Linked DNA regions of Drosophila melanogaster. Changing the gene in region 1 together with any one later gene gives a genetic interaction. Each region holds a gene or a part of one and is shown on either strand. Other genes may lie near its edges. The genes, in order: Spn28Dc and Hayan.

Region 1 (5,364 bases):
TAATTCGCCCGTGATCCGTTTGGAGCGACCCGTACGTGGATGTGTCCACTGTGATGTTTTTCCCTGCTGGCTAAATGGTGCAATTAAAAAATATCAGACAATGTTTACGACTCCACTGGACTTTTGACTTACTTCACATAGCAAACGGTGCCGTCATCGGTGGCACGTTCCTCCCAGCCGGGTGGCAGCTCATCCTCGCTATCTGTGTCGGGTAGGGCTATCATTTCGAATCAATTTAAACTTATTTAAAGCTTTATTTCTAAAGTATACACTTTTTATTGCGAAAAAGAATACAAAATAATTGAAGATATCGATAACATGCGGCTTAAGCGATAACTGCCGACTAAATGAACAGCTGTTCCGTTAAACGAAACATGTTACCCGCTAATAATCAGCATCTCCGTTTAACAGAGCTTTTAACCGCAACCGGTTGATTGGCGGTTGTTTTTTAAATTTAAATGATTTGTAGAAACTTAGCGCCTTGAACATTTGTGGGCATTGTTTAATCTGCCTGCTGTACGGTACATAGGATAATGTGAAAAGATTCAACAGCAACAAAAACCAATACAAATTTTCATAATTTACGTTTTAATTTATTTTTCATCATTGTGAATGATTTATTAGTTTCCTAACTATAAAGTCAACGAACTTAGGTGCTAAAGCTTAATAACTTATGATCCTAGAAACTAAGCGGCCGCCGGGGGCTCATTTATGAGTCCGTAGAAGAGCACCAGTTTCGTGGGATCGTGGCGCACAAGGACCATGAATGGAGTGTCTCCGCGGAAGAGGACATCGGGACCGGATTTCTTGAGGTATGTGACCGAAGACGCCGCCGCCTCCGTGCCCTGCTCGTTGACGGTGAAGTCCACTTTGTGAACAATGTCATCCACCACCAGATCGGAACGTGCTCCACCCGTTCCGGCTCTGCGCTGTGCCTCCAGATTCTGCAGGCTGTTGCCGCCCAGCGCATTCGTCCTCGTGGCCTCGTTGGTGGCGATGAGCGAGAGATCATTCTGCACCGCGCTAAAGATGCCGCCCAGCCCCATTCGCTGCATGACTGTCTTCAAGTTCACCGACTCCGTAAGATGCATCTTTGGGAATGCCACCAGAGCGGCCCGTCTGTACATTCGGCTGATCATGCTCTCGATCTTATCCGCCGTCAGACGTTTCTGCAGTGCCATTAGCTCCCTCACCGACGACTTAAACGGCTGGATGATGTACATGGTGCTCAGATTTCCCCTGTACGGCAGTCCAATGATCTTGCAGCCCAGCTCGTGATCCTCGTGATACGGATATGCACCACCGGTGGCCATCATCTGCACCCTCATCACCGGCTCCGTTCCCTCGCCATTCGGATAGAAGTTATCCGGACGTGTGGCTGACTCTATAAAGTCCGTTTCCCAGAATGCCTTAAAGTACAATGCGTTGGCCAGAATCATCCTGGTGGTCTGCGGAATATCGCTGGCGATGATGTTCTCGATGTGATTCTTTGTGTGCTGCGCCACATAAGCATTGATATTGTATCGTGCTGTCGCCGGACTGCCCTCGAAATCCTGAATCTGCAGATCCGAGGCGTAGACCTCGACGATCACCCGTCTGGAATTGCACAAAAGTGGAGCTCATGAGTAATAAATCAACAAGGCGCAGCTATTAGTATGCCAACAACGTTGTGCAAAGTGGAGCGATAGTATTGGGGAACTGGGGATGGGTTGGAATTGCAATATCTGGTGAGCTAAATAATAACTTGGGAAAGTAGTTTTTTTCCGCTTTTTTTGCAATGTTTGATCAGCTATAATTGAAGAATAAATAAATAATTAAATGTCTTAGTTATGTTTTTAAGTTAATCCATTCTTATCAGTGCTTTTTATTTGCCAAATTTTTGGCAATTCATTGTACCTACTATTTGACCTAAGGTTTCTAATTAAATATTTGATTAACTGATAATTCCAATTCCAATTCCGATTTAATTTTATTCAAGTTCTCTACATAAAAACAATCGCACTAAAAGTTCTTACTAAATTTGTTTGTCAATGGTTCCCATTTATATTCTAAACTTTATACGTACGTACGTACATATATATTTCTCAATGAAAGCTTGGGCTTTAAAGATTCATAAATATAAGTGGAATTACACGCTCATTTCTACACAGAAAAATATATTCTAATATTTTCTCGTTGTATATTATCTTCGAATATAAAATAAATACTTCCTTTTGGAGCACCACCATCAAGAGACACTAAACGCTTGATGATAATGGGTGAGATCATTTTGCTGGTACAATGAACCTGTTTCCCTCACTTGGCATTCAGAAAAGGAGATCACTTTAGCCCGCATGGCCTTCAGTTTTTCACGGTGTAAAACCTCAAGGCGATCGCTAATCGTTTGGCATTTCCCAGCACCCATTCCCAACCAGATATCGCTATAGTTCCAGTTTGCAGCCGGATAATTATCCGCTGCTCGGCTCACCTGTAGTCGGGATTGAGTGTGTAGCCGGTCTGTGTGAACAGTCCATTGGCCAGGTGCACCTCATGAGCACCGGGTCGCTGGGCCCGTCGATTGGATCTCATCGCGCTGCTCGCCCGCCAATCGGTCAGCGGTCGTCCTGCGGAGATCGCCTCCCTGGTGGGCTGTTGCAGATCCTGCAGCATCAGGCCGAACTGTTCGTGCAGCCTGGACGTGTCCGGAATATCGAAGACCGTGGACAACTCCTCGTAACTGCGACCCTTGGCGCCCAGGAGCAGCAGAGCCAGCGAGTGTACAATGCTCAGGGGAGAGTATATCTGGGTTTTACCGTTGGCCAAATGCTGGCCCAGAATGTTGGCAAAGTTCAGCACACTGTTCGCAATCCGATCAGAGGTGGCCAGATCCACATAGCCGTTGGAGTAGGCAGCCGGAAGGTTGGAAGGTTTCACCGAAGTGCCGGATATGCGATTCAACGCAGGGTCATTCTGGTTGCCAAGGCCGTTCACAAGGCCGGGCGATTGAAGGGGCACCGCAGGCGGTATCGCCTGAATGTGCTGCTGCGCCTCCTGTTGCATCTGATGCCGCCGCTGCATCAGTCCATTGATGTAGGCCATCGTTTCCGGGGTCCTCAGGTCATCACGAAATAGTTCCGATTCACAGCACACCGAACTCACGAGCAAAAGTGCCAAAAGCAAGCGCCACATTTTGTAATTTTCTTTTTGTTAATCTCGAACGCAACACACAGAACGAACTTTATATATATATATATATATATATATATTTTTTTTTTTTTTTTTAGAGGCAAACGCGATGTGGCTGTGCGAGTTGTTAAAGCCAGACTGAATGATTGGCGCTGAGCGCGCATCTTTATAAAACTGGAATCGGAAACTTGTTATCAAGCAAAAACGCTCCTTCAAGTCCCCGATCTCTCGCGCTCTGCATCCCCAGCTGCTCTCGGATCTTGGCGAGCTTGGATCTGGGAGAGGTTTCGTCGACGAGTCACTGGTTATACCCCGGCTTTGTTTACATGGCTGACCCGTGTCTGCACTTGTTATTGATCTTCATCGATCGGTACTTTCTCACGTACTCATGTACTGCCCCCCGCCCATTCATATCAGCATTCTGCGAACTTTGTTGCGGAAATCCATGGCAGCCCTCTCCCATCCATTTGTATCTATGCATGTATGTACGTACGTATGTATCTCAAACCCGTGACGTGCATACTGATATTCTCTCGCAACCGGTGAGTAAATAGTTTAAATATTTATTAGCTATATACTATAGTCATTATGTTTGGTGCGTATTCTCGGTCTCGTCATTGGAAAGTTCGCGGCACATTGACACGGTGATGGAGTCGTGGTGGGATTTCCCAGCGCTAGGATAAGATTTGTGCTCATCTGTTGGGCCATCAGAACTAAACAAATATGAGATGGGTTTTATTGGTAATAGATAATGCCGTCGTACAAGCCCGTCGTAAATTATATTTAAGCGTTACTTGCTTTATGAGTTATTTTAGATTCGATGACTCATTTTTGCTTCTGTAATGCCAGTTACCAAAAATAGTTAATGGTAGTTGTGTAAGTTTTTTATCTATCATGTAAGTTATTAACTCTAAGTTAGTTAGTTTCAGCTTCAGTTTATGGTAAACTGATCATAATAAAAACCATCGACCATTAAAGTAAATATTATCCGGAAATTTAACTTGACAATTTAAGCACAAGTTTCATTATAAAAAATATTAAAAATGAAACGTGCAAAGGAAGCGTAAATAACTTCCTTTGAAATCATTAACATTTCAAGATTATATCATTTTATATTCACCAATTTTATCCAATATATTATATTAAATTTACATTACAATCCATCTCAATTTAATTCAAGCTCAAATTCATGGGTGCTCAGCTATAATTGAATGAGCTGATTCACTCTTCTTTATTATTAAAAAACCAATCATTTCCTACACTATATTTATTTTAATAATATTTATGTTAGTTTTTGGCTTCTTCTCAGTTGCTAGGCAGCCCAGTATGTATTGTCTATAGCACGGAAACCCAGTTTCTCGAACATGCTCCTCGAGGGGGTGTTCTTCGTTACTACTGGCGCCAAAACTTGATCTCCCGCTGCGGAAATCTTCTTAGCCATCGACTTCACCAGCAAGCTGCCGAGACCAAGGCGTTTATGTGACTCCAGAACCTGCAGCAGACCCAGGGATCCAATCGGCAATCTAAACAGGAAAGTTAATTAATTAATAAGTTTTTATATACATTTATATACAGTTCGATGGCTTACCGCAGACACCAGGCAACCAACTTTCCCTTGTCGTCATAAGCACCCAAATTAATATTATATTTAATTAAACTTCTCACAAAGTCTATAGAGCCGGGTTTATTATGTGGCCAGTTTTCATTGATGATTTCGGCATCTTCGATGGTCAAGTGCTGTAGACTTAAGCCCGGAGGAACCCTAAATTGAAATTATTCGTTTCATTGAGAGTTATAGAGTATAAAGTACAAACTCACTGAATGTTAAATGTATCTACGAGTTCTTTGCTGGCCGCGTACCAAACGGTATCCACAGTGTGCAGCTTCTTGTTGGCATAATATTTGTTGCCAATATACTCCACCACAGGTTTCAATCGCGTAGAAAACCCAAAGAAATCGTATTCATTCTCAATGGACTTGAGGCATTCTAACGCTTTCGTCACTCGATCCAAATTTTCGCTCAGTGTGTTGAAGTAAATGTGGTTCATATGAGTATCCGAACGTAGCTGAGATGATTAGACAACATTCAATCACCGAACTTTTGCATTTCACATCGCATAACTTACCGTTAGAACAAAGGTTCCATCGCTCTGCCAGTCGCCATTCAACGATAGGAAATTGACCTTCAATTGCGGGTCT
Region 2 (6,243 bases), on another chromosome or scaffold:
GGAGTCCTGGCAGCGCCATTTAAGCAGCTCCCACTTTTGCTGCCCGCAGGAGTGCGGCCTTGTGGGGAGAGCGGGGGCTGGTTTGCTGCGAGCGGACGGGGCCAGTGGGTCGGTGGGTGGTGGGTGGTGGGTGGTGTTTGGCTGGCTGTTTGGCCGCAGTAAGCCGGCAGCACTTTGTAACGGCGGCGAACAGCTGACTGCAAAAGCTCAGTAAGCAGCTTTTGTCGCAACTTTCGAATGCCACACCTGGCAATGCCGCGCGCAGCGAGCTTTTGCGCTCTCAGTTCTGTTTACGTACGAGCGGGTGAGGCGCAGACAGCGATAGTTTGACAGCTGTCCCGAAACCAGGGCTGCTGCAAAACGTCAGTGGGTAAAGTGCTTGGCACTTATGATACCTCTTAGTTGCCTCAGATGTTTGAATTTCTATTACACTATTATACTACACTATTATACTACACTATTATACTACACTATTATATAAAATAAAATCGATTCTAACATTTTGAGGAACTGAATGAACAACCCTTATGGCTTCTTTAATGACACTCACTGAATTGTGTCGAACTTTGTCTAAAGACAAAATACCTTTATCAAACACTTTTGATGGGAAACACCATCCGATCCGTTCAAACTAAATTTATTGCAGATCAAATGACGCCTCAGAAACGATTCGACGGCCACACGATACCCTCGATATAGTCGAGAAAGGAGGAGACGCGTGTGTAGAGGCCCGGGGTCTTGGTGGCGCAGCCGAAGCCCGAGGAGATTACGCCTACGATCGAGTAGGTGCCGTCGACGTCGTCAATCTCCAGGATGAGAGGTCCACCGGAATCGCCCTGACAGGCGTCCTTTCGCTGATTCTTGTCCGCCGCGCACAGCTGCGAGGCAATCACGCCCCTTCTCAACGTCCGGTTGGCACTCGGCTGTTCCGCAAAGGATGCATTGCACTCGTCGGCCGGCACCAGATCCAGAGCCGCCCGCAGCAGGATCTTTGATACGGCACGATCTGTAAAGACACCATCGAACACAATCCAATCCTGCAGTTTACGCACACACAACTTACTGGTCACATTCATTACACCCCAACCGGCGACGAAATATTTGTAGTTCGCTGGCGGATCACTGCGATCCGTGTAGAGACAGGCGGGACGGATGACATCGGACTCCTTGGCATCCTCGGCCAGCTGCAGAATGGCGATATCGTAGTACTTACTACTGCCGGAATAGTCCGGATGAATTTGAACATCAATCTGCCAATGGAAGTGAGTGAGTTCAACTGGTTATCTCGCACCATGTGTCACATGGCGATACCAACCACATTGATGTCCTGGTAGCCCGGCTCGGGATTTTCGATGTTCAACGCACCCAGACGGACGAAACTGGGTGTGCTATCGTCACTATTGACGCAGTGAGCCGCTGTGAGGACGAATCGACTGGCGATGAGCGATCCACCACATCGGAACGCTGCGCTCCCGAAGGAGTTGTACGCAATGGCCGCCATGTGGGGATAGACGCCCCTATCCACCCGTTCGCCGTCCAGAATGTGCACCGTCAGGGGCTTTCCACCGGATCGGATCTTCTCACACGCTATCATCAGATGATAGGAAATTTAATATATATTGTATATAATATATCTCCAAAGATATTTTCATATAAAATATTCCAAAGAATGCGCAACTCACCTGCCACCGACGGTCGCTCCTTCTCGGGAAGATTGACGCGGGAGGGATTGGGATTGGGCGTCGTTGGCCTGCGAAAGACAAGGTATATCAGCGATTAAAATTGGGCTCACGATGGTTTCCACCTGAGACAGAGACTGCATGCGGCTCCCTGGCTGAGGCCAACTGATGTCCATGCCAAAAGAATGCTCAGACAAACCGCGTCTCGGCTGGATTGAAGATGCTGGGAGCTGGATCCGCGTCTAGATTATTGCTGACATCGTTCCAGGGTTCCTGGGGCTGGGTATCCTTGTCTCTGTCCTGGCCCCGAAATCGGTAGGGTTCAAAGGGATCGATCAATTGCGTGGGCGTGGGTGCGGGTGTGGGCGTGGGCGTGGTTTGCAACACCATGGGCACTTCTCGAGCAGGCTCAATCTGCATTCCCTGCTCCCGCAGCCGATCGTTGACCAAATGTATGAGGTTGTTATTATTGGGGCTTGGATTGGTATTGAAATTGGAATTATTCGGTCTTTGGGGTCGTGATCGAGGCGTGGTCAGTGGACGGTTCACAATCCGTGGCTCACGGCCCCACTCCGGTTCCATAAAAGATCTCTGGGTGCTTGCAATGGGTTGAGTCTTCGAAGGAGCTATGCCCCAAGCTCCAACGCTTTGGATGGGCAACTTCATGGGTTCGTGTGTGGGCAACTTCATTGACTCGTGAGTGGGCATCTTCATGGACTCGTGAGTGGGCGTCTTCATCGACTCCTGTGTGGGCAACTTCAAGGACTCGTGGGTTTTCTGCGGCTTTACTGTGGTGCTTAGCAGCTTGTTGAAGTCAAAGAAGTTCTGATTCTCGTCCAGCCGACTTTCCCGCTCCCTTTTCCCCTCGGTGGTCGTTGGAGGCAGTGGCTCCGGTTCTGGTGTTGGTTCCCGCTTGGGTTCGGGTAAACTGCTGCGCTCGGAGCTCGTAGCATGGAATTGGACCTCACGACCTCGACTGTGGGAGTGAGAGGTGTTAGTCTGGCGTTGGACGCCGGTAACCGGGGCATGCAACATCGGTGGGCACACAGCACAAGCGGGACACACACAAACACATATATATGGTGCACAAACAGGAGGACAAAAAACAGGACAATAGAGCGCAGAGGCCAAGGAGACAAGGACACGCTTACTCAGTGGCACAGCAGGCGACGGTGGGGCAGCAGATGATCTCCTCGCGGGCGCCAAAACCACAACTCGGCACCTGGCTGGTGGACAGCGTGCCCGACTTCAAATATCCTCTGATGTTCTCGCAGGCTGAGGAGGAGAGGCAGATTCCCGGTATGTCCGACCTCACCTGGCAGGGATCGCCCTCTGCAACGAGAAATGCGGCCAGCTGGCAAGGATCTAGTGTACGCGCCGCAAGACATCCTACATACCATCCCCAACTGTTACATACGCAGAAGTTGTCAGCACCAGGAGACCCAGAAGGAAGTACCTTCTCGCCGAGATCATCGCCATCGGTCAGCTGAAATTCCCAAAAGCATTAGTGAATCCCATTCTACTTGGTAACGCTTATCAGCCTTATCAAAACCGAAAATGGAAAACATCATTTTCACAACAGGGGAAGCCCTCGTCGAAATGGTAAGGGAAAAACAAACGAGATCTGTTTCTTTCAATCGACTCGACTTTCAGCTGATTAAACCGATCCACATCCACTGCCATTGACCCATTTACGATTTTTTTTTTTTTTTAATATGGGAACACCACAAAAGCATTCTCCATATGAACTGCTCGATTGTAGTAAGCCAGACTTGATTGATTTCATTTGAGAGACTTTGTGTTGATGGAAAGTTTGTGTTTGCCGATTACGACGAGCATTTCACCAGCAGCGCCGCCAGGTGAGATCAGATGATTCATGGGAGGCATGCCGCTGGGATTTTACCACCGGCTAAAGACGTGTACTGCCAACTGATATCGCAGCTACGTCGGTAATAACCGATACGAAAGTAACACCTGACAATTATGCTGCTCAATTGAGCAGAGAGTCGTCAATGTGTCTGCAGTTCAACTGAATCATATATATCCGATTGAAGCAATGCAAAAGTGTCATGACATCACCTGTTATCGGCCCAAATGAAATTGTATTAAATAGGTATGCGATTGCTAATCAGCTTCCGGCCTTCCGCAGTAATTGCCCATTGTAAACACGACGAAATCAAAAGTAGAACATGCAATACATAGCCCCACATCCCCACATCCCGCAATCCCAATGTCCATTGTCCACTGTTCACTGTACACCGACGTCCGCCTTATCGAACGCACCTTTGACACGACCTTTTTTCGGTCTCTGATAAGGGAGTAGTACGTCTACGTATCGATGTCGTTTATTGAGTGCGTCGAGCACTGTGGTGACTATGGCAATCGGGCACCGCACAATACAATACAATTTAATTCAATACCACATAAACAAAACAAAATCCAAGGGAATTACGAAAAAAAAAAATAAAAAATAAAGAAAAAAACACCGCAAAAAGCACACCAGCAGAGTCAATAAAGCTAAAAACCGGTGGCTATCACAAATCGCGGCGGTATGGAATCTGCTGGCTATTTTCCCGGCTCTGACCGCTCAGCAACGCATCGCCCAAGCAACTGAAGCCAAGCTTCTGAGCCCCAGCTGGAGCTGGAGCTGGAACCGATGAGGCCCATTTAGACGTCGACCAAGAAGCGCCGGACCCAGCAGCTGATAGCACCCAGAGCCGATCCTCTCCCGCTGAGCGGCGAACCGGTTTCCCATTCCACCACTTCGCAGAATCGCAGAACGATCCGAAGCGATCAGAAGCCAGAGCACACAAAGCACAAAGGCAGCCTGTAATTAGCGAGTGGGTAAGCAACAGGCGAGCGGTATGGACTAAAGGATACCGCGTAAGGTCTATGCTGCGCTTGGTGACCCCGATATTTACACCTTTAAAAGTCGAGTATAATTGTGTCACAGAATCGTGTTTTAGAACTTACCATATATATAGTTTCAATTGCAGTAATCTTGTTTTTTTTTTTTTTGTATAATTCTTCTCTAATTAAAGTGGTGACCCAGATACTTACTTTCTTGCCTAGGTTGCGACCTAGGTGGTGACCCAAGAAGTCCTTTTCAACTTATAGTCTGAAACATATGCTTAAAATTTAAATTTCTTATGACAAATCTTTCTGAAATAAATGCATTCTGTTTGTATTTCCCCATTTTTTTTATACAGTGCAGCAATTCAATAAAAGTGGTGACCCAGAAATCCCTCTAAAATTAAACAGAACCAGAAAAATCACTTCACAGAGTTCTGGAAACCGAACTGCCAGAAATAATATTGTACCGATTGATTATATCTTAAAACGTATCTACTTTATTGGTATTAAATGGTTCGATCGCGGTGCTCATAGAGATCACAGATGAGTGTTTGCCAATTGCGATGGATCAGGCAGTCCTGATCCCAAATAGAAATAATATACATACAAAAAAAACAAAAACTTTACTTTTCCCAACTTTACACCCGATTGTCCGGCCAGACAATGCCCTCGATAAAGTCCAGATAGGACGAGACACGCGTATAGAGTCCCGGTGTGACGGTGGCGCATCCGAATCCCGACGAGATGACGCCCATGATGGTGTACATGCCGTCCTCCACGTTGAGCTCATGAATGAGCGGCCCACCGGAGTCGCCCTTGCATGCGTCGGCGATGAGCTTTTGATCAATGGCGCACAGCAACGAATCGATCACGCCCTGCTTGAGCAACCTTATGGAACCGGGCTGCTCCGCATAGGATATATTGCATTGGTCCAGAGGCACCAGCTCCAGACCAGCGCGCAACAGGATCTTAGATCGCGCCCGAGCTGCGGATGGTTAGCCATTAGTGGAAGTGGAGGATATGGAACTTTTTGTGCTACCCACTGGTTACATTTAGGACGCCCCAACCGGCGACAAAGAACTTGGAGTTCGATGGCGGATCGGTGGCATCCGTATGGAGACAAGCGGGCCGGATGTTATCCGTCTCGACGACATCACGTTCCAGTTCCAAAATGGCGATATCGTTGTACTTATTGCCCACATACTGCGGATGGATCTTAACGCTTCGCTGAGATATGGTATCGATCAGAATGGCTATAACTTAATGCATAAGCACAGTGACTCACTATGACGATATCCTGGTAGGAATGGTCTGGATTTTCAATGTTCACAGCTCCCAAGCGAACAAAGGCCGGCGTATTGGCATCGGTGTTGACACAATGTGCGGCGGTCAGGACGAAGCGACTGGCGATTAGCGATCCGCCGCATCGGAAATCGGTGCCAAAAGTGATGTAACCAATGGCCGCCATATGGGGATATACACCCGGATCAACCGGATAACCGCCCACGATGTGTATGACCAATTGATTGCCGCTCCTCTGCTGTTTTCGCTCGCGAATCTTCTTGCAGGCTATATCGTGGGATTGGAAATAAGTAGAGGAACTCTAGGAGTGATCTGATCAAAAGAGTAAGCACCTGCCACTGCTGGGCGATCACCGCTTCCGAACGTGGGCACATCGACACGACCACTGGTCATTGGAGCTTTTGTGCTT

Evidence for each region.
Region 2: of Spn28Dc (region 1) and Hayan, changing one suppresses a phenotype caused by changing the other (phenotypic suppression), as found in Drosophila melanogaster (one study listed by BioGRID).

Annotation. Positions count from the first base shown.
Region 1 is NT_033779.5:8,003,965-8,009,328, forward strand, and holds Spn28Dc (serpin 28Dc), read right to left. Parts: upstream 3,247-5,364; 5' UTR 3,169-3,246; coding exon 2,468-3,168; intron 1,597-2,467; coding exon 687-1,596; 3' UTR 584-686; downstream 1-583. Other genes in the region: Wwox (WW domain containing oxidoreductase), read right to left, coding at 1-70, 133-224; CG12560 (uncharacterized protein), read right to left, coding at 4,478-4,688, 4,754-4,927, 4,984-5,231, 5,292-5,364. UniProt on the Drosophila melanogaster protein: Serine protease inhibitor which is required for pupal viability and plays an essential role in regulating the melanization reaction.
Region 2 is NC_004354.4:18,479,479-18,485,721, forward strand, and holds Hayan (hayan), read right to left. Parts: upstream 4,295-6,243; 5' UTR 3,963-4,294; intron 3,166-3,962; 5' UTR 3,159-3,165; coding exon 3,077-3,158; intron 3,012-3,076; coding exon 2,831-3,011; intron 2,656-2,830; coding exon 1,879-2,655; intron 1,751-1,878; coding exon 1,683-1,750; intron 1,655-1,682; exon of another isoform or gene 1,588-1,654; coding exon 1,316-1,587; exon of another isoform or gene 1,251-1,315; coding exon 1,064-1,250; exon of another isoform or gene 1,007-1,063; coding exon 660-1,006; 3' UTR 505-659; downstream 1-504. Other genes in the region: psh (persephone), read right to left, coding at 5,171-5,517, 5,576-5,759, 5,818-6,101, 6,167-6,243. UniProt on the Drosophila melanogaster protein: Serine protease which, by converting prophenoloxidase 1 (PPO1) into its active form, plays an essential role in the melanization immune response to physical or septic wounding.